Lonchura striata: one gene and its partners. The protein of the gene in region 3 binds, or shares a complex with, the protein of the main gene of each other region. Links are inferred from orthologs where the notes say so. Each region holds a gene or a part of one and is shown on either strand. Other genes may lie near its edges. The genes, in order: MED18, MED31, MED1 and MED19.

Evidence for each region.
Region 1: MED1 (region 3) and MED18 share a complex: the UniProt entries of both Homo sapiens proteins name them as parts of the mediator complex. The link is inferred for Lonchura striata from reciprocal best matches to the Homo sapiens genes MED1 and MED18.
Region 2: MED1 (region 3) and MED31 share a complex: the UniProt entries of both Homo sapiens proteins name them as parts of the mediator complex. The link is inferred for Lonchura striata from reciprocal best matches to the Homo sapiens genes MED1 and MED31.
Region 4: MED1 (region 3) and MED19 share a complex: the UniProt entries of both Homo sapiens proteins name them as parts of the mediator complex. The link is inferred for Lonchura striata from reciprocal best matches to the Homo sapiens genes MED1 and MED19.

The regions. Positions count from the first base shown.
Region 1 is NC_134642.1:13,964,578-13,969,866, reverse strand, and holds MED18 (mediator of RNA polymerase II transcription subunit 18), read left to right. Parts: upstream 1-3,835; 5' UTR 3,836-3,876; coding exon 3,877-3,949; intron 3,950-4,087; coding exon 4,088-4,641; 3' UTR 4,642-4,765; downstream 4,766-5,289. UniProt on the Homo sapiens protein: Component of the Mediator complex, a coactivator involved in the regulated transcription of nearly all RNA polymerase II-dependent genes.
Region 2 is NC_134622.1:11,673,523-11,681,191, reverse strand, and holds MED31 (mediator of RNA polymerase II transcription subunit 31), read right to left. Parts: upstream 3,009-7,669; 5' UTR 2,919-3,008; coding exon 2,909-2,918; intron 2,403-2,908; coding exon 2,325-2,402; intron 1,717-2,324; coding exon 1,620-1,716; intron 886-1,619; coding exon 693-885; 3' UTR 503-692; downstream 1-502. UniProt on the Homo sapiens protein: Component of the Mediator complex, a coactivator involved in the regulated transcription of nearly all RNA polymerase II-dependent genes.
Region 3 is NC_134627.1:7,131,733-7,138,640, reverse strand, and holds the start of MED1 (mediator of RNA polymerase II transcription subunit 1), read left to right. Parts: upstream 1-3,899; 5' UTR 3,900-4,267; coding exon 4,268-4,484; intron 4,485-5,905; coding exon 5,906-6,012; intron 6,013-6,908. Other genes in the region: CDK12 (cyclin-dependent kinase 12), read right to left, coding at 1,717-2,756. UniProt on the Homo sapiens protein: Component of the Mediator complex, a coactivator involved in the regulated transcription of nearly all RNA polymerase II-dependent genes.
Region 4 is NC_134608.1:53,110,877-53,118,160, reverse strand, and holds MED19 (mediator of RNA polymerase II transcription subunit 19), read right to left. Parts: upstream 2,621-7,284; coding exon 2,422-2,620; intron 2,137-2,421; coding exon 1,880-2,136; intron 1,807-1,879; coding exon 1,710-1,806; intron 1,630-1,709; coding exon 1,535-1,629; intron 1,412-1,534; coding exon 1,349-1,411; 3' UTR 514-1,348; downstream 1-513. Other genes in the region: TMX2 (thioredoxin-related transmembrane protein 2), read left to right, coding at 2,847-3,035, 3,425-3,485, 3,644-3,757, 3,892-3,968, 4,043-4,149, 4,236-4,301, 4,410-4,539, 4,641-4,775. UniProt on the Homo sapiens protein: Component of the Mediator complex, a coactivator involved in the regulated transcription of nearly all RNA polymerase II-dependent genes.

The DNA of each region.
Region 1 (5,289 bases), on a different chromosome or scaffold from region 3:
ACCTGCTGAAAAAAGACGATGGTTTGGGATCCTGTCTTGCCTCAGGGCAAGTTCATGTTCTTGTCAGGTCCACCTTGCCCTGCAGAGTGGTGACACTGCATCCAGTGACCCCCCTAGCACTGACAGTTCCATACTTTGTCATCCTGCCTGGGGATGACTGCTGCCCCAGGCTCACCTTGCTTACACCCTGTGGAATGGGGGAGGCCTGCTTCCAAAGCTGACCTCACTTCAGTGCTCCAAGGCTTTTGTATTACATAACACAAAACTACTTAGCATCCTATCTTAACCACCAGCTTTACTTCAGTCTGCTCTTAAGCAAAGCTTTAGCCCCAGGTTGCTCCCATTCCATTCCCACTAGGATTCAGGCCTTCTAGACAAATATGGTAGGTAGGTAAACAACCTTATTGTTGTTTGCCCCCACTCACGTAGGACAGGAAAGAGTAAAGGCAAAAATGAGAAGACATAGATTCAGATGGAGACTGCTTAGGAGGTAAAGTGAAGCCACACCCAGAAAGCAAAATAAAGAATTTATTCACAATTCCCTATCAGCAAGAAGAGCTTTGGCACACTAATAGTTATTTGGGAAAACAAATGCCATAACCATGAATGTCCCCACTTTCTCATCTTCTTCCCAGAGCTTTTGGTGCTGGGCAGAATGCAGTCTGGTATGGAATATTGGTGTGGTCAGCTGGGATCAGATGTGACTCCCTTTGTTCCTTCAGAGCCTCTTACTTGCCTCTAGCCTACTCACTGGCAGTGAATGCAGGAGAAAAAGGACAAAAATAAAACCTTGATGCTGGCAACCCCTCCTCAGCAACAGCTAAAGTACTGCTGTGTAACCAATGTTCTTAGTCACAAATCCAGAACACAGCCTCATACAGGCTGCTATGGAGACAACTACTTTCATCCCAGCCACAGCCTGTATAAAAATAGAAAATCTGGATCTTGGCACCAATACCCACAAGAAGTGAGATCCACAACAGCCAAGTAAACATCAGCTCTTAGCATCAGAGAAGAATATGGGTTGGAAGGGACTTAAAAGAGCATTAATTTCCAACCCCCCTACTGCTGGCAGGCACACCTTCACTACACCAGAGAATTGCAGAATTGTTTAAGTTGGAAGAGAATTTTAGAATCATTGAGTCCAACTCTAAACCTAACATTACCAAGTCCACAGGCTAAAAAAGGCATCAGCCTGATGTACCTGACATGTTCCTTCCTGACACCCTTCCTGTTGTGTGGTCTGATGACACTCAGTGAAACAGACCTGATGCAGTTTTCTTCCTCTCCTGGAGGCCTCTCCCATGGACACAGTGCACCAGACAGAACCTGAGTGTCAACAGAAGCCAGTCATGTTTCCTTTCTCCTCCTTGCAGCTTTCCTTTCCTTTGTCCTCCAGCTCATACCAGGCAGCAGTTGCAGAATGGAAAAAAATCACCTCTTTCTTTATCCTTCACCAGAAACATAAGGTCAGGTTGCTCAAAGCCCCATCTAACCTGACCTTGAACACTTCCAGTCATGGTCCAGCCATAACTTCCAAGTTCCAGCATCTCAGCACCCTCACAAGAAATAATTTCTTCCTTACTCAGTTTATCCTCCTGGAGGAGAATTCTACAAGGTCAGTCCACACTTTCACAAGCTGGAACGTCAGGATAAAATTAACCATGACTGCACTGGGAGGGCATGACTATGCCATTTCTCATTTGCAGGTCTTTGGCTTGTACCAGTATTTATATAATTTTTATGGGGGGTGTCAGGGGATACCACCACTGTGTAGATACTGATACATGAAAAATGGACATACTGTTCACATTCTGTGTGGCACAAAGGTTTGTTACACAAAAGACTGCTAAGGGAAATGTCACATTTATAACTCTGTTTTGGGTATTGACAGGAGTAATTTCAGCTGGTACATACTGGGCATTTCCATCACTTTCTGAAAACGGGCTTTTCTGCATAGAAATGGTGTACATCCTACCAGGCCCAGATGAGATTTCTGCCTTCTGCTGCAGGAGCTGAAGCCTGGCCCACAACACCCCAGAGCATCAGACACTTTGCTGTCGCTGTGAGACAGATTGGATCATTTTTGGTGGATATTTTCCACAGAATTAATTGCATGTGCCACCCTGGGGAGTGATGTGGGTGCAGCCACAATGACCCCTGATGGCTGGTCCTGCCTGCTGGCCTCCCAACCCTCCTGCTGTGCCACCGGCGCCGAGGTCAGGCTGGCAGCAAGCCCTTTGAGATTTGGGGCCCTCAAGATTTGAGGTCTCAAGATTTGAACCAAACTTTGCAATTTTTTTTTTTCCAGTTGTTAATCAGAAGCTGTAGCTGAACAGTTATGATTAAGCAATCGCACTGTGAATGTTGCATACTTGGCTCGTCTTTTGCTTTGAGGAAAAGAGAAGAGAATCCCAAGATGCAGGGACTCTCTGGATGAGATCTGCCAGGAGTGAAGTCAGGATGCCAGGAGCTGACTGAGGGAAGGCAATTCCACCACACCCTGACCCAAGGGAGGCAAAACCACGCCTGCAGACCAAAAGGGCTCTTCTCATGGAGAAGCAAGACACACAACTAGAAAATAGGGTTTGAGTGCTAATTAGGAGAAAAGTGGTATAACTTACAGCTAACAAATGCTGACACCTTGGTTTGTTAAAAGGTATAAATAGTGTAGAGGTTTGATGATCACAGAGCCAGCCTTTCGTGGGTTACCTCCTGATTCCCGGCTTTGGGCAAACTAGAATAAAAGAAAAAACACGGCATCACAGAATCGTTAAGGCTGGACGGGACTTTTGCAGATCATCCAGTCCAGCCCCCTTGCTGAGGCAGGGTCACGCAGAGCAGCTGACACAGGAACACATCCAGGTAGGTGTTGAATGGCTCCAGAGAGGGACACTCCACAACCTCCCTGGCAGCCTGCTCCAGCGCTCGGCCCCCGGGCGGTGTGAGGAGAGCGGGGCGGTGTGAGCGGAGCGGGGCGGGGCGGTGTGAGCGGAGCGGGGCGGTGTGAGCGGAGCGGGGCGGGGCGGGGCGGTGTGAGCGGAGCGGGGCGGTGTGAGGGGAGCGGGGCGGTGTGAGGGGAGCGGGGCGGTGTGAGCGGAGCGGGGCGGTGTGAGCGGAGCGGGGCGGTGTGAGCGGAGCGGGGCGGGGCGGGGCGGTGTGAGCGGAGCGGGGCGGTGTGAGCGGAGCGGGGCGGGGCGGGGCGGTGTGAGCGGAGCGGGGCGGTGTGAGGGGAGCGGGGCGGTGTGAGGGGAGCGGGGCGGTGTGAGCGGAGCGGGGCGGTGTGAGCGGAGCGGGGCGGTGTGAGGGGAGCGGGGCGGTGTGAGGGGAGCGGGGCGGTGTGAGCGGAGCCGGGCGGTGTGAGGGGAGCGGGGCGGTGTGAGCGGAGCGGGGCGGTGTGAGCGGAGCGGGGCGGTGTGAGGGGAGCGGGGCGGGGCGGTGTGAGCGGAGCGGGGCGGTGTGAGCGGAGCGGGGCGGTGTGAGCGGAGCGGGGCGGTGTGAGGGGAGCGGGGCGGTGTGAGGGGAGCGGGGCGGGGCGGGGCGGTGTGAGCGGGGCGGGGCGGTGTGAGGGGAGCGGGGCGGTGTGAGCGGAGCGGAGCGGGGCGGTGTGAGCGGAGCGGGGCGGGCGGTGTGAGGGGAGCGGAGCGGGGCGGTGTGAGCGGGGCGGGGCGGTGTGAGCGGAGCGGGGCCGGGCGGTGTGAGGGGAGCGGAGCGGGGCGGTGTGAGCGGAGCGGGGCGGTGTGAGGGGAGCGGGGCGGGGCGGTGTGAGCGGAGCGGGGCGGGCCGGCGCCGCCCCCGCCCGCCGGGCCGTTAGGGGGCGCTGCCGCCGCTCTGCGCGGCGCTGCCGGCGGGGCCGCGGGGCCGGAGCGCAGCGCGATGGAGGCGCCGCCGGTGACCATGATGCCCGTCACGGGCGGCACCATCAACATGATGGAGTACCTGCTCCAAGGTAGGCGCGGCGGGACCAAGCAGCGGGTGGGGGGCTGGCGCCGCGCACGGGCGGGCCGGAAGGCGCTGGGGCGGGCGCGCCGCGTGCGGAGCCCAGCTCGGCCCGTGCGAGGCGACGGTCGCGGCGCTGTCTCCGCAGGGAGCGTGCTGGACCAGAGCCTGGAGAGCCTCCTGCACCGGCTGCGCGGGCTGTGCGACAACATGGAGCCCGAGACCTTCCTGGACCACGAGATGGTGTTCCTGCTGAAGGGGCAGCAGGCCAGCCCCTTCGTGCTGCGCGCCCGGCGCTCCATGGACAAGAGCGGGATGCCCTGGCACCTGCGCTACCTGGGACAGCCCGAAATAGGCGACAAGAACCGCCACGCGCTGGTGCGAAACTGCGTGGACATCGCCACCTCCGACAACCTGACGGACTTCCTGGTGGAGATGGGCTTCCGCATGGACCACGAGTTCGTGGCCAAAGGGCACGTATTCCGCAAGGGCATCATGAAGATCATGGTGTACAAGATCTTCCGTATACTGATGCCAGGAAACACAGAGAGCATCGAGCCGCTCTCCCTCTCCTACTTGGTGGAGCTCAATGTCGTTGCGCCAGCAGGGCAGGACATTGTTTCTGATGACATGAGGAACTTTGCTGAGCAGCTGAAGCCTCTAGTACACCTGGAGAAAATTGACCCCAAAAGACTAATGTGATTGACAGTCTGGGGCATTAAGGCACTGGTTTTGTGTTTCAGAAAATGATGTTTTTCTAAAAAGCGTTTTGTGGGCAAATCAAAACAGGGAGAAGGGAATAAAGTACTATGTATCAGTTTTGGCAGCTGCAATTCCTGAGTGTTTTTTTCTTTCACTTGTGAATATGAGCAGAAGTGGACACTTCAAATTAGCACTGTTAAAAAAATCAGTAAATGTTAATACCCATAGTGTTCTTTCTTTTGCATGGGAGATAACTTTAAAAGCCTATTGCCTAACAGTCTAAAAATGTCAGACTTACTGGAATTCATCCCTCCGTGTACTCAGATCCCACTGCTGTCTTAAGATTTTTAAAGCACAATTTGTGTATCCTACTTAGTCATCCAAAACTTTTCAGTAATAGAGGAAGTTAATACTGTTTAATGCAGGAGATGCTGTTTCACACAAGCATAAACACAGAAACTGCTGCATAAAAGGGCAGCTAACTGTACACCTCTTCACCAAAGCTTATGTGACAGGAACAGGTACTTGTTAGGGAAACTGTTTCTTATGATGTAACCGAAGTTAGAAGTAGAAGAAAATCTAGTAATATTAACATTTGCAAGTGGTTTTTCCCATCTTTTAATGGTCTTCCATTATTTTCATTGGAAT
Region 2 (7,669 bases), on a different chromosome or scaffold from region 3:
AGAGACTTCAGAGCAGCCACTGCTTTACAGGCAGAGGCCAAGATGCAAGGAAGCTGAGTTTAATAGAACAGAGACAGCTACAGCTTGTTTCCTTCTCTATCCTGCAGAATTTATCAGCATTTATCTCTGCTCCACTCCCCAGACCTCACCCTGTACACTCCTGATTTCTATCCGTACAATGTGCTGTAAGGAAAACAAACTTCCATCAACAATGACTGCCAGGGTAACAGAAGTGACATGTAATAGCTCAGCTTGGTTTCAAGGAAAAACTGCACAGTTTTGACTTTGTCTATCATCACTTCACCTTTGCTTGTCCCAGAGCTGTAAGTAGCAGGGAGTTCTCTTAAGATACATCATTATTCTCCAGGGAAAAGGTTTCCTAGGAACAGCCTTTAGAGCTACACTTCTTTGTAGAGAGTTGGTAAGTGACAAATCTAGATTTTGTTTTCAAAATCAAGAGGAATCAATAACTATTGTAGTAAAGCTCTTACAAAATTGTCCATGCTGTAAAATAAATTGCAGGTGTTTATTAGTTTTTAAAGGAGTTGATGAAACAAAAACAACCCTAGTCATTTGATAAATTCAAATAAAAGGCACAGAGCCAGAGCCAAACTTGCACAAGGGTTCATTCACCTCCTGTAAATACTTCACTAACACAAAGTACACCTTATCATCACTACTCTGTGTGCTTTTCATTTTACAGAGGTGTTGTTTTGTTGCTGCTGCTCAGCCAGTGCCTGCTGGAGGCGCATCCTTTTCCGGGAATAGTGCTGCCAGTGGAGGATCTGTTGCTCATCAATAAATTTGGCACACTGAGCATTGACCAGCTCTTTGCGGAAATGTTCATACTGAAGCAGCTCTAGCATATGCAGACATTGAGGATACCTGGGTTAAAAATAACCACACTTTAATACAGGTTTTTACAAGGGACACTAAATCTAGAGTCTCCAGTACTTCTGTGGGTCGTTAGTTTTGACTCATATGTGCTTTACCCAAGTGTGAAACGACTTCAGCATGAACACTGTGACTTGGTAACTGCAGCATCAGGCCAGGAAACAAGACAACCAATTCCAGTAATAAATGCACATTCCTGCTTACTTACAGTAGCTTCCCCAATGGCTTGGTTTGATAGACCAAATCTATCCATCCATCCAACAGGCTTTACAAGGCCTCTTTCCAGAGCCCAATTAAAGATGACCAAAACCATTTTCCCAAAAACAGAAGGCATTAGCACACTTGCAAAAACACAAAAATCATCTTTTGTCTCATGCAAGCATCAATAATGCACAATTGATCTTAAAATGCACTTACTGCTTTTTTGCCCTAATGTTCAATAGTTTGATTTTAAACCAATCGAAAGTGCAGATTAAGGCTTTAAAGGAAGATTCTATGCAAAACTCATGAAATTTTTATAATTTTGCCTATTGCTGCTACATGTGGACTATTGGAAACAGGGGAATCTACATTGCATATAACCATATGCATAATCTATGTTGCAGGAAGGACAAAAGTAATGCTACAGGCAGAAATGAAATCCTATCATGCTGCTGTACAGTGTTCAAAATGAGGTCAATGGCAAACCATTAAAATGCAGAAACTTAAGGGAATTTAGTACTTACTTCAGGTATTTTGCATATTCAGGTTCTTTCCAATAAAGTAAATATTTAAGATAATTTACAAACGCTTTATCTTTGAAGTAGCCTCTTTGTGCAAGAACTGAAATGACAAGGAATTGACAGTTACAGATGGGTGCAAAATATCAGCCTACTTGAAAAAAAATCACAAAGTCAAAGCTTTCTCATTACAATCAAATTTCAATAATTTATATTTGGCAAATTAAAAAACCACAGGGCAAAATAAGATTTTTATGTCAAGAAAATAATAGATTGGCCTCATCTCCCTTATAGTTTGTATCTTTCATTGAATGGAACAGCTTTTTGAAACAAGAAAACTTTGACAGTAGCATCAAAATTAACAGAGTTATGCACAGTACCTAAAACTATTCACATTAGTAAAATTCTGTTTTCAGATAAAGGAATGCTGTTAACTTGACATTACTTTTTAATAACAGACTGGAACTTGTTATTTTCTTCCTCCATCAAATAAATGCCTTTTTTTTTTTTTCTTGCATTCCAACTAACAAAAGACTTTGCATTTTAAAAAAAAATCCACCTGTTAAACAAATAATTTACAGGTTAGTTTCATGCTGTGAAAACCCTTTTCTTTGTTTAGCCCTCTCTCCATATTCAACATTACCGGTAACAATAAACAGCATTGCACTATATTAACTCTTCCAGGTTGTGGTATTTACTTTAAGTACTCACAGTTGAGGTAATTTGGATTTGCCAGACATTGAACAAACTCCAGCTCCAACTGGAATCGAAGTCGATTTCCTGTATCATCTGATTCAAGACAAAACCAGTAAGAATTGGACCCACACAGACTGAAAGCATTCGCAGTCTGTACCGGGACCAAAGCGGGCTGGGGCGGGTGAGGGCCACGGCCGGCGGCAGCGAACGGCGCGGTGCGCGGGCCCGGCGCGGCCAGGGCGCACCCGGGACAGGCCCTGGGCTGCGGGCTCCGAGGGGAGCCGTGCGGCGCCCCGCTCGACCTGCGCCGGCCCGGCACGCCCGGCGCTCCGGGGGCCTGCCGGCTCCGAGCGGCGGCGACAGCGGCCCCACGGGGCTCCTCCCGGGCTCCTCCCCGGCTCCGCTCCCGGCCCCGCTCCCGGCCCCGCTCCCGGCCCCGCTCCCGGCTCCGCACGCTCCCGGCTCCGCTCCCGGCCCCGCACGCTCCCGGCCCCGCACGCTCCCGGCCCCGCACGCTCCCGGCCCCGCTCCCGGCCCCGCTCCCGGCCCCGCTCCCGGCCCCGCTCCCGGCCCCGCTCCGGCTCTGCCCGCTCCCGCACCTGCGTCCATGTCCGGGCGCACACACCCGACAGCGGCGAGCGCGCCCCCTACCTACGGCCCGGCGAAATGCAACGCTAGGCACGCTGGGAACGCAGCGGCCGTTGCCTAGCAACGGTGGGGGCGGGGCCATGGCGGGGGCGGGGCGCGTCGGGGGCGGGGCAATGGCGGGAGGGGCTGGGCTATGACCGGAGGGGCGGGGCAATGGCGGGAGGGGCGGGGCTATGACCGGAGGGGCGGGGCAATGGCGGGAGGGGCGGGGCTATGACCGGGAGGGGCGGGGCCATGGCGGGCGGGGCGGGGCCATGACGGGGCGCGGCGGCGCCGCTGTGTGCCGCAGCCACCGGTCCTGCGGAATTTCCCCGCCTGAGGGAAAAGGCCCAGTGCCACCCGCGCTGCTTGTGCCAGGGGACCCAGTGCGAGTCCAGAGTGCCATTCCTGGGACTCCAGCTCCACGGCTCTTCCCGAACATGAACGCGGGCAGAGTTTCGTCCGTGTGCCGCAGGGCCCAGTCAGTCCCAGAGCCAGCGAGTGTGGCTTTGCGGTCACTGTTCCAGGCATGTTCTTTCCCCAGATACCCCTTGAGCTGCGAAGGATAAAAAGAGGATGAAGTTTTGTTTGTATTTGCAGAACATTCATTTTAGCTTTGTACTACACAAAGCCACTGTTCATCCCTTCCAGAGCAAAAGGAAGTGGAGAGAATCAACTTTTAGAATCAACTAAAACACTAAACTGTATTTAAAGTTTAATGGTAAATACTGGATATTGGACAAAGTTGGGAACTTTGCAGGGCTTTTTTGTTTGTTTGTTTTTCGTAGTGACTTTACAGTCAGCCAAAGAGATTTCTGTCAACCTCTACGCTTAATTCTTCATTAATTAAAACACAGTTGTCTCAGAATAAAACCATTAACAAGCAAATGCTCCTTGAGTGAGCAGCAGCAGTGGAAGCAATCTCTACAGGCTTACCTGAAATCCTTCTAATTTTTCCTTTTTTTGTTGTTTTAATTATTTTCAATTTTAATTTGTTGAAGTATTTTTGGCATCCAACATAGCAATTTTCTATAATACTATATTTTCCTATGCAGTATGAATTTTCCCCTGGGAATTGCATTACAAAAACCATATAAAAAGGATTCATGCATAGTTTTTTTCTTAATAAAAAAGAGTTGCTTTCTTAGGCAACATTTTAGTGGTTGTGGAATACTACTATTACTATATTAAAACATAACAAGTCACTCCCCAGTAAACACAGACTTTGATCTAAAAGAAGAGATCAAAGAGATCCCACGTGTCTGCATTGCTATTCTAGAACAGGATTTCTTTCCCAAGAGTGACTTCAGAGGAGAGAATCCTAAAAAAGGATTGGTCACAAAAATAAATTACAATGTAGGTTTGCCCAAGTTAAGTTAAACATCTCAATTCTTGTCCATCAAAATTAGGAATAAAATTGAAAATCAGGATTTTAGTATAGGAGATTTTATAGTTTAAATATTTTATATAGGAGAACATTCTTGAAGAAAAGTTTGGGGTTTTTTTTGTTTGTTTAGTTTTGTTTTGTTTTTAAATGTCAGGTGAGCCAAACTTGCAGGACATGTGTCAATATAACTGTGAGCCAGAAATTTGTCTTATTGTCATAGAACAAGGATGACATTGCTGCCTCAGTTTCTCCTTTCATAGACTAGACTGCTGTCACTGCTGTTGCCTGCCCAGAAATGTGATGGTTTAGGACAGTAAGTTTATCTTAACTCATTAGAGCTGGCATAGAGACACAGCTCTTAAATTGAGCCACTTCTGGGACCTGAAGCCACCACGGTTTTATGAGACACAAGAGAAAATAAAGTCTCATTTGGCATGCTGTTGAATCTTGAAGGTAAACGCTGAGGAAGAGAAATGCTGCAAAAGATTCCTCTGTGACACCACTGTGCAGTGCATCTGCACCAGAGAGAAAAAAGCTCCATCAATTTCATCACTGAGAACTGATCAAGTGAGATGAAATAGGGAAATGTTTTACACCGGTGCATGAAACCCAAGACATCCCCTCTTGTTCACTCCCATTTACCCATTGCTTTGGAATAGAATGCAAACTGATACTAACATGGACATCTGACAGGATTTTACCCACAGAATGCAAGACAGCTTCTGTAGATGGAGAGCATCCTGCTTCAAATATGGTTAAATAACAGAGAGCAGAGTATGCATTATGTTATATATATAACAAGCCAGCACAAAGTCTGCAATTTTTTTACTCCAATGCTATAATTGTAATTCAATAGAAAGAAAATCATAGTTTTCAGTGACTAAAACAATTGTCAGAACATATTTAATTAAAGGCTTAACTCTTCACTAAGTTCACTTTTTTGAGGTCAAGAAACTGGCAGGTAATGTGCATTTCAGAAGGCCAATAACAGTCGTGTGCAACCACTTCATCCACAGATGCTAAATACCGTTCAGGCAAGCTGCAAACTGGATGAAATAGTGTAAAAAGACTGGTGTATTGAAGGCACTGGCACATATACTTCTGTGACTGTGGTACTCCTCCAGCTTCAGACAAACACTAGAATTTAAAGATAAATTAAAGATTAAATGTCATGTGTCAGAAAGCATTTTATGTTTTTCCATAATGAGTTGGTTAAAAATATGTGAGGGCTTCTATTAAGACACCTGGACAGCAGGAGAATTTGAAATCAGCCATTTGCCGGGAGTAATATACATTCCTATGTTTCTGATTTCTGACCATATAGCCAAGGCAAAATATTGAAGTAAAATAGAAATTTCCTCCAGAATAATAATTTCTTAGTTGAAAGGTTGTGTTAACTTTGTTTCTGGTGGAAATTTGATCTTCAGCTGGCTTTCTAAAATATTTGCTAAGACCCAACCCAAGTTATTGTTCTCAAAGAAAAGCTCACAAAGGAAACAACAATAAATTAGATTTAGTATATGGAACATTAAGTTTTTTCAGGAAAATGGTTTGTCTGTAAAAAAAGTTTTATGAACACTGTAATGAGGCTCACACTCACTGAAACAGCTTATGAAAACTCATTGAAGTGCCATGTGCCAAATAAGTCTGGGAAATAATTTTGTGTGGGTAAATAAAGCACTGAAGTAAACTGGGAAAGGATAACATCTTTTCTCTGACAGAAGAAACAGCCTCTTTCTTATGGCCAGCATCCACAGTAAATGTAAATCTACATTTACACCATAATGGGCAGCTATTGACTAAATGCTCTAGAAAAAATGGGGGGAAAATAGCTTCAGTATAGTCATCTCTATTTTTAAATAACTACCAAACATTGTATTTAGCAGTCCCAAATCACCTCAGGGCACCATGGTATGCCTACCTTTACTCTGTGCTCCCAGTGGTAAGGGCTGTACTTCCCTCAGAATTTCTGTGCCAAGCAGAGGCAGTCTGCAGTGCATGGCAAGCCCTCTCTGTGTCACAGACCCTTCACTCAGGGACAGGTACAGATACACAAAGGGGAAGGTCTGATCTGCCACTGAGGAGCTGCCACTGATACGGTTCTTCTGGGCACAGGAGAATCAGCACCCTGCCACTAAACCATGCAGGCAAATGCTGAGCCTGTCTGGCAGGAGACTGGTGGCCTTGTGGTGCAAGAAGTGTTGAAAACCTCTCAATAGCACAAAGAGATTGATCAGACTTGTCTAAAATCACACTTTTATTCACCCACACTGGAAAACATTGTGAAAACTCTGTCACTTGATCCAAGGGCTCAGGATTCATTACCACCCACTTCTTCACATATTTAGCACAGACAGGGGAAAAAAAAAAAAGATGTGAAGTATGTAAAAATGTATACAATATGTCACTAGTAGAAAGGAAGAGGAACCACTCCTGCATTTTGGCTAGGATTGATGCAGTGATCTAATTCTTTTTCTGGGCTGATTTTCACCAACTGTCCAATTCCAACTTTGTCAGCAAATGTTGGGTTTGGCTACAACCAGGTTATTGCTATTTCAAGTGGCAACACACCTGAGCTGGAAAACAGAGGCTGAATAAGCCAAACACTGAGTTCAAATGAGATCAGAACTCAACTGGAATGCACTACTTGCTGCTCTGAACTCAGTGGATGACACCAACAAATCTGACCACTCTTCATCTTGGGGACAAGTTCTAATCATGTAGAGAATGCTGAAAGGTTTTTCTTCTCTATTTCACAGATCTAGATGTTCAACGTGTGGGCAGGAAATACCTTTGTTATCTCTTTGTATGTTTTCTTGTAGTTTGGTAATTCATTAACTCATTCACAGTTGTGAGACCATTCCCAAGCACTAGTACACTGTGGGAACAAGTTTGCACACTAGTACATGATCAGTCAGGAACCCTGTGCAACCCTGTGCAGCCCAGATCACAATGCTGCAGGTTTGGGACACTCAGTATTTGCAGAAACAGCATTAGCAACTTGATATTTTGGTAAATTGGTATTTTGAGAGAAGAAAGGAAAAGCCAAGGTTCCATAGAAAGAGGGCAGAAAATAAGAAAGCATTAATTTAGCTCCTTAGAGGCCTTAGAGGTGGCACTGCTAGCTGTGCTGCCAGCTGGCCAGCTGACAGACTCACTGACCACAAGGAATCACACTCTGCCCTCATATGGTAAAATGGGAATAGTTTGCTCACTCAGGGTGGCTGAATAACCTGCCCTGACAAAGCCCACACTGAGGATACTCCCATGTTTTCTGTGGGTGCTGGGGGTGCGTGCTTTAAAGTGAGGGGCAAACAGATTATTTTATGCCACTACCTTAGGACCA
Region 3 (6,908 bases):
AAGTCGGAGATGTCCTTAGAAAGTTGCTCTGAAAGTTTAGGGAAGCAGCACAAAGTGCTCTGAAGTTGCTCCCATAAATCAGGGAAATGGAACTGCTGGAATTCTCTACTCTGAATTCTCTACTCAGCCACTTACACAGAGAGGTTCTCCTGGGGAGAAAACTCTTAGGATTGCTCTGCAGCTCCCAGTGGCTTCTCCCTGCTCAGGGCTGGACATTTCCTCAGCGCCACAACTCCGAGTTGTATCAGTGAACTGACACCTTGCACCTTCCTCACCCTTCCAAAGGGTGAGCAAATAACGTGTCAGAGTAGCACCACCAGGCAAAAAGGACTGAAGGGAAGGAGCAGAAAACTACCCAGGCCTATCCCTGAGAACCTCCCAGGTGTACACAGAGAAAACAGGCCAGAGGAGGAGCAGCCTGGAGGAAATTTTCACTGTAAAAATCACAGTGGAATACAGAGATTTTACGTCAGAGCTTCCAGGGGGGTTGAAACCAAGACAGAACTGCCAGCAAGGACAAAGGCGAGCTCTCCATGGAAGACAGCACTCCTGAAGTTCAGAGCTGCAGTAACAAAGACCAAATTCCAAAAGCCCCGTGTGCTTTGGGAACTGCTGAGCTGCAGGATGCAGCACAGCAACCAGGGAGCAGAGCATTCCTATGGCCATTGCATTCCAGGTCACATCTGAATTGCCATGGAGCTCCAAGCAAAGCTCCACAGCATCCATGGAGACAACTGGAAACTCACTGAACGTTAAGCCAGGGCTAGAGAAAGAAAAGATCAACATTAGACTATGTCACAGGATGATTAATGAACACCTGAAATAAAACGCACAGAGCTACCTTGAAATAATTGTTTCCTTCTGGAGCAAAGTTACTGAGTAAAAGGGGAGAGAAAATTAGAGATAAGCCAAAATCCAGCTGGTTGCTCCTCGCCCTTCCAGCCTGCCCACATTTCAGAAGGGAAGAAACTCTAGTGCTGAGAAAAGAAAGTTTAGGCTGAGAGATGGAGTTTGCACGTGGCTGCCTCTAATCCAAGGGGAAAGAAAAGACAAACCAGTTCAGGAAGAGCAAAATCCACCCCAAACGAGCCCTCCTGAAAAGCAGGATCACGCTCCCACACGCAGTAAACAGATAAAGGCTTCCAGAAATAGGTGAAAACATTCCCCGTGGCTGAAGTTCCCAGCAGGTAAGCGCCTTAGATCCTGCTCCGGGAGCCTCCCCACGAAGGGGCCACTCCAGAGGTGGGTGTAACTTAATCCCAGCAGCTCCTCCAGCCTCCCTCCCTGCCCGCAGCCAACATGGACGCTGCCTCCCGCCAGGCACAGAGGCGGTTCCCAAAGTGTCAGCCCCATTTCCAAAGGGAACGGTCAAAGCTCCCAGCCAAAGCCAACTCCACACACGGCACTGGGCAGCAATGGGGAGGAATCACGGAATCACGGAGTGGTTTGGGTTGGAAAACGCCCTGAAGAGCATCCCATGGGTAGGAACACCTTCCTCTAGCCCAGCTTGCTCCAAGCCCTATCCAACCTTGGACAACACCATGGATGGAGCATCCACAACTTCCTCAGGCAAGCGCAGCAGGGAACAATTTTTTCCCCAATATCCCACCTTAAACCCACCCTCCATCAACCTGAACCCATCCCCCCCTGTATCCCATCACTCCAAACTCTCCCGAACTCCCTCCCAGCTCCCGGGGCGAGGCGGGGCACACGCACCTGGCGATGGGGCTGCGGCTGACGGAGCGCTTGGAGGCGAAGGGGCTGCTGGAGCGGCGGCGCCCGTAGGGGCTCGGGGACCTCCCGCTGTAGGAGCCGCTGCCCCGCTCGTAGCTGGACGAGCGCCTCCGGCCGTAGGGGCTCACGGATCGCTGCCGCCGGCTGTAAGGGCTGGGCGAGCGGGCGTTGGACTGGTAACCCACGGGCTCCTTGTAGGGCGGGCTGAGGGATTGGCGGCGTGAGGATCCGCCGGGGCTTTTCCTGTAGGGATCGTAGGTGCTGGAGGTGTGCGAGCGGGGCGGGCTGAGGTCGTATTCCTGCACGTAGGAAGCTCCCGAAGGGCTGTCGTCCAGTTTTGGGCTGTCCGACCATTTCCTGTGAGGGCTCCTGGATTTCCTCTTGGGGCTGTCGATGGTTTTGTAACTTTTGGGAGCATCCCTTTTGCGATGGCTTTTGCTGCGCTCTTTGTGGCTGGACTTGAGCTCCCGCTCCTTCCTGGATTTCTCCTTGTGCGCCTTGGCCGAGCGCGATTCCTTGTTGCTGCTCTTGGAGGAGGAGAGCGCCTTGGGGTGCTCCTCGCTCTCCAGGAGCCTCTTGGAGGATCCCGAGATCCTCTCCTTGGCGGACCTGCTGGAAGCATCCAGGCTCTTTTCCAACTTCCTGTCCTTCTCCGCCTGTTTGCTCTTCATCAGCTCCCGGAGCCGCTTGTGCTGGTGGTGCCGGTGCTTCTGGGCCCTCTCGCTCCTCTCCGCCCTCCTCTCGTCGTTGTCCCTCCTGTCCAGCTTGAGGCCCACATCGTCCGAGAAGGTGTCCGAGTCCGAGCTGATGTCATCGTACTCCACCAGCGGCTTGATCACCGCTCCCAGGGGCGCCGCCGCTTCCTGGGCCGCCAGCGGGGACTCCTTGGAGTGCCTGGACTTGTGCCTCTTGTGCCTGGAGCCCGCCCGGTGCCTCTCCTTGCTGTTGGAGCCGCCGCCGCCCGGCTGCGAGCACGCCCCGCCGCCGTCCTTCTTGCCCCCATGCCTCTCCGGGTTTGGCATTCCTCCCCCGCTGCGCTCGGGAACGGCGAGGGGCGGACTCGGCGGAAACCCCCAACTTCAAACTCCCTCCGCGCCCGCCCCTCGCACCATCCACGCCGGCCTCGCTGCTCCCTCCTCACACGGGGAGCGGGGCCCGAGCCCCGGAGGCGGCGGGAGGGACGGGCCGGGGCGGGGGGGGGGGAAGGAGCCGGGAGGGGAGGGGGAAGCGCCGCGGCCTCACCGCCTCATCCGAGGGGGGCCCAGGCCCGGCGGGCAGCGCGGCCGCCCCGGGAAGGCGGGGCCCGGAGCGCTGCCCGCGGCCTCAGCGGCGGTGGCGGGGCCTGGGCGCGGATCCCCGGCCGAAGGGGCCCCGGAGCCGCCGCCGCCCCCGGCGCGGCCCCCGCGCTCTGCCCGAACCGGAGCGGCGCCGTCCGGGGGGCGCCGCCAACTCTCGCGAGACCCGCCCGCAACTCTCGCGACAACTCCGCCGCCGCCACCCCTCCCTCCTTCCCTCCCCGGCGAGTCCTCCTCGTCCGCGAGTCCTCTCGGGGGATGGGCGGGGCCCGCGCGCTCGTCCTCTCGCGAGAGCCGCCAAATCGCGCGGCGGCTCCTTCCCAGCGAACTTTAATCGGGGCGCGGGGCGGGGACAGCGCCCCCTAGCGCCCGGCCCGCAACAAAGCTCCCATGGCGGCGGCGCCGCCGCTTCCGCCCCGCCCTTTCCCGCCGCTCTCCCGCTCCGCCGCGCCGCGCCCTAAAGCCGCCGGCGGGTGGCTGCCGAGCCCTCCCCGGCGCACCGCCGGCTAACGAGCGGTTAATGCTCCGTTAGGGGCTGCGGAGCGGCCGCCGCGCTTCCAGGGCGCTGAGGGGGCGGGGCGCGCTGGCCGCCGAGCCCCGCCCCGCTCCCGCGGAGTCTCGCGAGAGCGCGGGAGCGCGGCCGCGGGCGCAGCGATGGCGGCGGCCGCCGCCGTGTGAGGGCGAGGGCGGCCCGGCCGCCGCCGCCGCTCCCGCTCCCTCTCCGCTCCCTCTCTCCAGTCCAGACCAGCCCCGCGTTTGCAATATGAAGGCCGCGCCCGGCAGCGCCGAGGGTGAGTGCGGCGCGAGGGGCGCGGGGGTTCCCGGTTCTCCGTGAGGGAAGGAGGGCGGCCCGGCGGATCCGAGGCTCCGCATTCGGGTTGAGGTTGAGGTGGCGGCCCGGAAAGTGAAACGGGCGAGGGTCACAAAGGTGGTTTGAGGTGTGGGGAGTCTCTGTGCGGAGGTGGAGGGAGCTGGGCCTGGTTGCTGTGGAGGAGAGGAGGATGAGGATGCTATCAGTCCGGGCAGATATCGCTAGGGGCTGTCAGAGCCCTGTTCAGACTCTGCTCAGCGGCAGGACGAGGAGAAACGGCCGGAAAATAAAACACAGCAAGTTCCACCTCGGCATGACGAAGAGCTTCTTTCCAGGAGGGTGTCCAGGGAGGGTGAGTGGTCTCTGGGCACATTCCAGGTGACCCTGCCTGGCTGGGTGATCTGCAGAGATCCCTTCCAGCTCTCTCATGGGATTCTGGACAACTCAGTGTTGGTTGAGGAGGGGCTTGGACCAGGTGAGCTGCAGGGGTCCCTTCCCACCTGCAGCATCCTGTGTTGATGCAGCTGAGAGGTGTAAAGTGCCTGAAAACAAATCCCGGAGTAGCTGGGGTTGGAAGGGACCCCTGGAGATGATCCAGTTCAACCCCTCTGCCAAGGCAGGGTCAGCTGGAGCAGGGGACACAGGTGGGTTTGCAATGTGTGCAGAGCAGGAGGCTCCAGAACACCCAGCATTCATTCATTCCTTCCTTACACTTGGGTTTGGAGGGCTCAATGTGAGGTCTGTGGGCTAGCAGAGCATCAATCAGGAGCCCAAACTGTGGAATTTTGGCAGGTGGAAGTCACAGGCTCCTGTGAGGTGACACTAAAATGTCATGTCTGCACTGGACCCTCTGGGGCTGGGGACAGGGTTTATTCTGGAATGACGTCCACTGGGATGGTTTTTTTGACGTGAAAGTATGAAAAGCTCTGTCTCTTGGCAATAAAACACTGGATTTCAGTGTTCATGAGAACCATGTTCTCTTTATCACTCATCCACTGCTTCATCCCCCCCAGCACATGGAGCAGCACAAGGGGACAGCAGCCCTCAGCTTGGAGCTGATTGTGGAGCCATGGGATGTCCTGAGCTGGAAGGGACCCCCAGGACCATCAAAGCCCAGCTCCCATCCCTGCACAGGCACCCCAAAAATCCCACCCTGTCTCTGAGAGCAATGTCCAAACATTCCTGGGGCTCTGGGCTCTACAGGAATCATCAACCCAATTCCTGGCCCTGCACAGGCACCCCAAAAATCCCACCCTGTCTCTGAGAGTGATATCCAAACATTCCTGGAGCTCTGGCAGCCTCGGGGCTGTGCCCATTCCCTGGGGAGCTGTTCCAGTGCCTGAGCACCCTCTGGGAGGGGATAAAAATTCCCAAAATCCAGGAATCATCAGTCCAACTCCTGGCCCTGCACAGGCACCCCAAAAATCCCTGAGAGCGTTGTCCAAACCCTCCTGGAGCTCTTGGGGCTGTGCCCATTCCCAGGGGAACTGTTCCACTGCCTGAGCACCCTCTGAGGGGGGGAAAAAACTTCCCAAAATCCAACCTGAACCCCCCTGGCACAGCTCCAGCCGCTTCCCCATGTCCTGCTGTGGGGCAGGAACGTGTCTGAGCACAGAATTTGGCAGAACTGGCAGCTGGAATGACTTGGCTGAGGTTTTTGATGGTGGAAGGTGTTGAGGACCTTTCAAGAAGTTGGGGGAGAGAGACCAGAGAGGGGATCCAGGACACAAAACCCACCTCACTGCTTTAACCCCGTGTTTCCCACAGCCTCAGTTTCTGGGGATCCTCTCCTGACAGAACTGAACCTGCTGAGGCCACATCACTCAGGGATGGTGCAGAACAGGAGCTGAGCATTTTCCAGGAAAATCCATAAGATTTTCACAGTCCTTTAGTTTTAACAGCCTGGGAGATTCCGTAACACTTAACCTCACCTCAAGCTCTGGGGTTAAACCAGCAGTTAGCAAATTCTTTGAAGTCATTTTCAGCTTAAAGGTGGAAAGTTTTGTGTTGTTTAAGTGGTTTGCAGAACTTACCAAAGTTGGCTCACTGTGTTCCTGTGTGACAGAGGCAGAGAAGCTGAACAAGATGAGCTCCCTCCTGGAGAGGCTCCACGCCAAGTACAGCCAGAACCGGCCCTGGACAGAAACCATCAAGTTGGTCAGACAGGTCATGGTGAGCATTGCTGGGCTCTGAGCTGCAGCTCCTCTGCTGAAGGATTTCTCTTGGGTTTTTAGACCTTTTCCAGGTGTTTTTTGTTGTGTCCATGTGTCATGGTTTGATGCTGGTATCCCCGTGAAAATGCAGCTTCTTAATTGGATGCTGTGAAATGTGATTGAGAATAAAGCAGGCGAAGCTTAATAACAAAAAGGAAAAAAAAGCTTTATTAAGCTACTACTGCTATATTAGTATAAAAGAAAAAAAAGAAAAGCACACATAAAATTTGAAATTAAAACCTTTCAAAACATTCCTCTTCTTACTATCTAACTTTAATAAACTACAGTGACACACATTTGGACTCTTAATGAAGTATTTACCTTTTAATATATAATCAATACTGAGTCTAAGAGGGGACAGAGGAGTCTCCCTTGCACTACAGACCCCCAGGAAACACAGCTGCCACCTCTTGTGTTTCTGTGTCACACGTGGCACTGCCTGGAGAGAATCTGCCAGTGTGACACTCCTCTTTTTGTCACTGTGCTCTCACCACCGTGCATGGACAGAGACTGCTCATTGGGCTCCTTTGAGGATGCTTTGCCAAGGACCAAGAGGAACAACAGTCTAGTGTTTAATTTTGGGGCTACAGTCCCCCCCATTTTCCTCTAGAGCCTTTAACCCCTCTATATTAAGAGCATGTCTACTTTCAGTTGGTTATTCTAAGTGTCAATATTTACACCTGACCCCTGACTACATCAACTTCTTCCTGCTGAAAAGATTCTTTTTCTCATGTCAAACCACAGCACTGTGGCTTCACTCTCTCCTGAGTGGTGCAGGGGAGGGAGGGATGTCCAAACCTGCCCAGCCTGATGTGCCTTTCCGTTCCCTAATTAGTGTTCAGTGCCAGGGAAAGA
Region 4 (7,284 bases), on a different chromosome or scaffold from region 3:
ACGGATTCTATTTTTTTTCTCTTTCCGAGTTACCAGGTGTGTGTATATATAAATATCTATATATATAAATATAAATATTAAAAGAAAAAAAAAGAAGCAGAAATTATATATCTTACCCAGAGAGAGGAAGAAACTACCCTGCTCAGGGCCTGGGCCCCCCACCTTGTCCCTGTCCCCAAAGGAGGGACGTGGGGCTGCCTCCTGCACCCATGGAAGGAGCTGTGGTAGGTGCTGGGTGTCACTGTTCGTCCCTGAAGGGGGCCATTGGGTGCCAGATACCCATCCTCGGACACTCCCCTCCCTGATCCATGGTGTCCACAGCCTCCAGCCCCCCTGGGGGGCCCAGGGTGGAGGTAAGGTGGGGACAGCACCCCACACCCCCATCCCAAGCTGGTGCAGAAGCCCCAGTGTCCCCCACCCGCAGTTTTTGCTCTTTCTTTCCCCAGGTGCTGTGGTCGGGGGGGTTGTTGGTTTTGTTGCCTTTTTTTGTTTCTGTTAATGATTCCGAGGAGGTTTCTCGCTGTCGCAGGGGTGTTTTTATTTCCGCTCGCTCGGGGAAGAGGCAGGTGCATCCCCGGAAAGCAATATTTTCTCATCACATGCCAAAAAAACACAGCCAAGGAGCCTTGTGCTCCCTGTCCCCAAAGCCCTGCCGGCACTACCGGACTCTTTCTCTACGGCAATAGCTCCCGTGGCCCCACACAGCCACGCCAGGGTTTTTTATTATTATCAGCCATTTTAAAAACAAGGAATAAAAGGATATTTAATGAGCCACCCCGGGGCTGTGCGTGTGCTTTGTTTGGTGTCCAGGGATGGAGCAGCCCCTCCAAGGCTCCTGATCCTCAGGGTTTCAGCCTTGCCCCCCCTCCCGAGGGAGAGAGAGAAGGGGGTCTGGTAAGAGCTGAGCCTGGCCCAGTTCTGGGGGGGCTCCAACTTGAGGCAAACTCTGCTCCCACAGAAGGTAAGGATTTTCCAGGCATGGGAAAAGAGGCTCCAGGGAAAGTATCGTGGGTGCTGGTGAGGTTTCGGATCCAAAGGAGGGCACCTGCACGTTCCAGGGACACCTTTGTTTGGGGCTCCACTGTGACAGCTAAGGGTCACAGCAGCCATGGCCACCAGCCCCTCCTCACAGCAGAGTTTAAAAGGTGACTAAAAAAGAGGCTTTGATGCTCCAGGTTCTTCAGGTACAAAAGCTCAAGGTCAGCACCCACAGAGTCTGTGCCCCTGGTGCTGGGGGGCTGCAGGGGTGTCCTCTTAGCCGGGGGGACAGGCCAGCCCCAGTGTCCCTGGGGTCAGCCGGGGCTGTTCCCATGGGCCAGGGGATCCCCAGGGCGTCACCGGCGTGGTTTCACCGTAAGCTGCTGCTGGCCTGGGAGCTGCCCACCCCAGGGTGCTCCGGGCTGTGCCGGTTCTGCAGAGGAAGGACAGACAGAAACTGTGAGAGCTGCTGGGCAGCAGCCCCTTGGGGATGGCAACTCACAGCGCCCCTCCGAGGTCCACGGGCTGGGCACTGCACCCCGGCCTTGCCACTCACCTTCTTTTTCTTCTTCTCTTTCTTCTTCCTCTTCCGCTCTGGATCCTCCTCTTTTTTCTTCTTTTTCTTCTTGTGGTCGGAGTCTGAGGGGGTTTCTGGAGAAGCAGAAGCGCCAGATGAGCCGATGCTCTGCCAGTGCTGAAGGGGAGCAGGGGAGCGGCTGTGGCAGCCTTACCTGGGGGGACGGGGTCCTGCGTGCGGCTCTGTTTGTGCTTGTGCTTGTTCTTCTTCTTAGGCGGCTGGATGTGCATCAGCCGGCACTGCTCGGGCAGCTGTGGAGAAAAAGGACTGGTCAGACCACGCCGGGCCCCTCCCGCCCCTCCGGCTCCATAGCCCGGGGCTCACCGGGCCGGCGTGCAGGCGGAAACCGGTCAGCATGGCACCCGTGAGCGGCGTGAAGGAGCTGCCGCAGATGGGCGGCTTCTCGATGAGCGAGCGCAGGCTGCTGCTGTCGTGGGAGCCGGGCAGGTCGATCATGCCGGGCAGGTCGGGGAGGAAGTTACTGAGCTTCTCCTTCACCTTCTTGCCGCAGAACTTGTTGTAGGCGTGCTCCAGGTTATAGTGTGTGATCAAGTTGGTGCTGCCCGTCAGCTCCGTAGTGCCTGTGCGGCCGCAGGAAAACTTGGCGCGGGGGAAACGCCCCGACGGCAGCCCAGGCCCCTCTCCCCAGCCGAGCCGAGGCTCCGGGACCCCCTGCAGCCCCCGAGCACCGGGACCCCCGGCCCCGGGGCGCCCCCGCCGCCCACTTCCCCACCGGACCGCGCGTTGCGCGGCCCCGCCCCCGCAACCTCATTGGCTCCTGGCGCCGTCAGTTTCCCCCGCGGCCGCGTTTCGCCGCGCTGATTGGCCGAGCGCGGCACCCGCCCCGCCCCGCGGCCCGCCCGCACCTGGCAGCTCTCGCAGCAGGTAGAAGGGGCCGCCGGCGGCCTTGCGGGCCGCGTCTTCGCCCGGCGGCGGCGCGGCGGCCGAGGCAGCGGGCGGCGGCGCGGTTCCGGCACCCGGCGCCTTGGCGGGCCCGAATCCGAGCGCGGCGGCGGCGGCGGGCGGCGGCTCGGCCGCGCCGAACAGCGCCGAGAAGTTCTCCATGTTCCCGGCGTGCCCCGCGCCGGGCCGCCCCGCCCCGCCATTGGCCGAGCGCCGCCCCCACACCGCCCCTGCCCCCCGTTGCTAAGGGAGACCCATCCCAGCCTTCTGATTGGCCGCTCCCCTCTCTCCTCTCATTGGTCCGCGCGCGCGGGAGCGCCCGCCTCGCCGCTCGCCATTGGCCGGCGCGGGAGGCCCCGCCCCCGGCAGTGAGCGGGGCGGAGGGAAGATGGCGGTGGTGGCGCCGCTGCTGGCGCTGCTCTGGGGGCTGCCCGGGCTCTGCCGATGGCTCGCCCAGCCCTACTACCCGCTCTCCGCGCTGCTCGCCGCCGCTTTCCTGATTGTGCGCAAGGTCCCGCCGCTCTGCCGCGGGCTCCCCTCGCAGCGGGAGGATGGCAACCCTTGTGACTTTGACTGGGTGAGGCGGTGCGGCCTGTCCCCGGGCCTGTCCCCGCATCCCTGGGCTGTCCCCGGTCCTGTCCCCACAGCCCCGGCCCTGGCTTGGCTCCCCTCCTGCTCACACAGCACCCCGGCCTGGCTGAGAGAGGAGTTGCCCGGTAGCCCCTGGCGATGCTCTGCGGTGTTCCCTTACAGCCGAGAGGCACCCCCAGGCTCTGGTCCGGCTCGTGGCCCCAGGGCAGCCCCTCTGCTCGCTGTTCTCATCCCGGGGGGGATGAAGGCTCTGGGCTGTGGCAGGGCCTTGGGAACAGTAGGGCCTGGCACGGCCACGGGTCCCTGTGCCAGGCCAGGCATGGCTTCAAGGTGTCCTGGGCACTTCCAGCTCATGCTGTCCCTTCTTTGTGCCAGAGGGAGGTGGAGATCCTCATGTTCCTCAGCGCCATTGTCATGATGAAGAACCGGCGCTCCAGTGAGTCAGGGGGACTTGGGGGGCTGGGGCTGCTTATGGGGTCTCCTTCAAGGAGCACGGGGTGGTGTCTGGAGGACCAGATCCAGCCCTCCCTGAAGTTTCCCCCAGCCTTCTGGGGGCATCTGGTCCCATGCCTTATTCCTGTCTCCACATCACAGTCACCGTGGAGCAGCACATCGGGAATATTTTCATGTTCAGCAAAGTGGCCAACGCCATCCTGTTCTTCCGCCTTGACATCCGCATGGGGCTGCTCTACCTCACTCTCTGCATAGGTGAGCCTGCATGTCTTCTTGCCCTAGATCCGCCTTCTCCTGGCTCCCCCTTACTGCTCTGGGGTGGAGGAGCTCTGTCCCAGGCCCAGCCTGGCCCTCCTGGCACTGGGGGGCTCAGGGTGCTGTCATTCCAGTGTTCCTGATGACCTGCAAGCCACCCCTTTACATGGGCCCCGAATACATCAAGTACTTCAGTGACAAGACCATCGATGTGAGTATCTCCCCAGCCCTGGGGCTTTTGGTGGTCTCTGCCCTCGCCCCCCTAAGCCCATGCCCCTGTGGCAGGAGGAGTTGGAGAGGGACAAGCGGGTGACGTGGATTGTTGAGTTCTTTGCCAACTGGTCCAGTGAGTGCCAGTCCTTTGCCCCCATCTTCGCCGACCTCTCTCTCAAGTGAGTGGCACCCACTGGAATCTTGGGGGTAACGGGGCCTGTGGTCCCCTGTGTCCCTCACTGCCCTGTGTCCCCATCCTGCCCAGGTACAACTGCTCAGGACTCCAGTTTGGGAAGGTGGATGTTGGCCGGTACACGGACGTCAGCACCAGGTGTGGGGAACGCAGCCTGGGCAAGCAAGGCTCGCTCTGGGGTAGTCCCTGTGACCCTCCTGCCCTCTCAAGCTGCCCGAGGGTCACTGTGGGCTTGTCCTGACACAGGTACAAGGTCAGCACCTCGCCTCTCACCAAGCAGCTGCCCACCCTCATCCTCTTCCAGGGTGGGACAGAGATCATGCGGCGACCGCAGATCGACAAGAAGGGCCGGGCTGTGTCCTGGACCTTCTCTGAGGTGGGTGGGACCCTGCAGCCCTCTGTTCTGTCCAGCCTGTGCCTGGGAAGAAGGGGGGAGCACGAGGTCCCAGTGGTGCTGATGCTACCTCCTGGCCACAGGAGAATGTGATCCGGGAGTTCAACCTCAACGAGCTCTACCAGAAGGCCAAGAAGCAGTCGAAGCCGCGGGAGGAGGGACCTGAGGAGCCCCCAGCCGTGCCCGCTGCAGCTCAGGAGACCAAGAAGGACAAGTAGAAGCTGCCCTGTACTGTCGCCCATCACTATGTCACCATCAGCCTGGTGGCAGCGGCCCCGCGGGCCTGCCCAGCCCCGCCCGGAGCCGCTCTCCGTGCGGACTTGTCCCGGCTGAGCCCCGGGAAAGCGGCGGTGCCCCCCGGCCCCGTGCGGGCAGGGCGGTAGGAGGGGCCCCGCCTCGGTTAACGCTCGCTCATCATCCATCGCTGACAATAAACGGTCCGTGCCGTGTCCCGTGACCCGTGTCCGTGTCCGTGTCCGTGTCCCCGGCCCGGGCCCGCGCATGGGGGCGGGGCCGTGCGGAGCCGGCGCGCTCTGATTGGCCGGCGCGGCGCGGGCGGAACCGGAGCCCACCGGAGGCTCCGGTGCCCTCCTCGGCCCCGCCCGTTCCGGCCCCGCCCCGGCGGCGCGCGCTCCCGCACGTGGCCAGCGGCCGGTAGGAGCGCCGCTGCTGCCCCGGGCCCCGCCGCCCTGCTCCCCCCAGCCGCACACCGCGGCGGGATCCCTGCGGAGCCGCCTCCCGCCCTCCGCAGCGGGATCCCGGCGGGGGCCCTCATTTCCCCCGTGGCGCATCGCCGGGGACTGGCCCATCCGGGCCCTCTCCCACAGTAGTGTCCCCACAGGGACCCACTTTTCACTCCCCGGACAGCGTGGTACCTGAGCTCCCTTCTCACCCCGGAGTGGCATTCCTGCAGCCGGCGTAGGCTCCACCGCCTCGGCTGTCCCAGGATGGCTCCCCGCGGGAGGAAGCGCGGAGCCCAGCAGCCGGCGGCGGCCGAGGCACCGGAGACAGCGGGAGCTCCGCAGAAGCGGGCGCGGGCCCAGGCCCAAGCCCAAGACGAGTGCAGCCCCGGGGACATCGGCCCCCGTGTCGTCATCGAGCACTGGTGAGCGGCCGAGGCGCCGAGGGCGGTGTGAGGCCCCTGGGTGCCCCGGGGTCGCTGACCGCCGTGTCCCCGCAGCAAGAGCTGACGCGTGTTCGGGCGGAACGCGGCGGCGGTGAGCGCGGCCCTGCGCGGGGCCATGGCGCACCTCCCCGTGGACATCAACCCCCGGCCGCCGCGCAGGAACAGCTTCGAGGTGTCCCTGGTGAAGGAGGACGGCAGCAGTAAGTGCTGGGCAGGGGGGCGGGGGGCTCCCCGGCACCCTTGATCCCATAATCTCCCTTACCTCTGCAGCCGTGGAGCTGTGGAGCGGTATCGGGAAGGGGCCCCCCCGCAAGCTGAAGTTTCCCCAGCCGGAGACAGTAGTGGAAGCCCTGAAGAGCAGCTTGGCATAGAGGTGTTGGCCAGGTGAGCGGGGATGGGACTGGGATGGGATAGGGCAGGGATGGGACCAACAGGGACCGACTTCCCTCTCTCCACAGCCAAGCCAGGATCGGCACAGACGGCATGAGCGTCCATGAAGAGGCGAGACCAAGTGGGGGCATCCACCTGCCCCAGTCCCGTCCCTGATGTTGCAGCTCTGCCACTGCCAGACCCCTGGCTCCCTCCACACCCCGTTGTCCCCCCAATCTCCAATAAAGTTTAGTACTCCACAGCACAGCTTCAGCCCTTTATTCCAAGGACATGCAGCCCAAGGGGTACAGGCACTGGTGGGGGGAGAGGCAGAGCCAGCCCCCTCTAGGTGAGGACATCCACCTCCTCTTCTGACTCAGATGAGGGACTGGGCCAGAGGCACACTGTGCCAGGGGGCAGGAATAGTTCCCCTGTTCCCACATCCACCTCTTCCTCCTTGGTGTCACTTCCAGGAGTTCCTGGGAGCACTGCCTGCTGGCAGCCCTGCGAGGACACAGGGGAGTCCCCATGCTGCTGCATCCCATTTTCACTGGGGGACTGCTGGGTTGGGGAGCACTTGCTCACCTGCTCCCGTGCATCCACATTCTGGGGGGGCTGTGCTTCTGTCACCCCCACATCCCCCACCATCACTGCCGGAGGCACGGCCTCCTGCACCACCTCCCAGTGCCCCCAGTGCTGCACCTTCCGCAGCCTCATCCGCCCGATGGGGCTGGGGTGTGAGTGCCCCAGAGAGTGTGGCTGCCTCTGGGGGGACACCGCAGAGCTGGCACTGCCAGGCTCAGCTGAGTCAGGTGCCCCCACGGTGGAGACTTCCTGAGTGGAATGCAGGCAGGAGCGGTCGAGCTGCCGCTGGGGTCTCAGTCTCACCAGGCGTCCTCCCCAGAGCTGCAGTGACTCGAGCTCGGTGACACGGAGGCGGCGGGCAGCTGCCAGCACCTCGTGCACCTCCTCCTGCGTGACCTCCAGCTCGGCAGTGTAGAAGAAGCGCACCAGCTTGCGCAGCACCCCAATCTTCAGCCCCGCCAGCTTCAGCGCCACCCTGCAACCCTGGGGGGGCAGCTCCCGGCCCAGCTGCTCCATGAAGAAGGGGCTGCAGACGGAGAGAACACTGCAGTGGGCCACCACTGCCTCGCCTGCAAAGAAACAGTGGCTGTTACTGCCCTGCAGCCCTTCCTGCTCACCCCAGTCTTTCCCAGGAGATTGCAGAGACT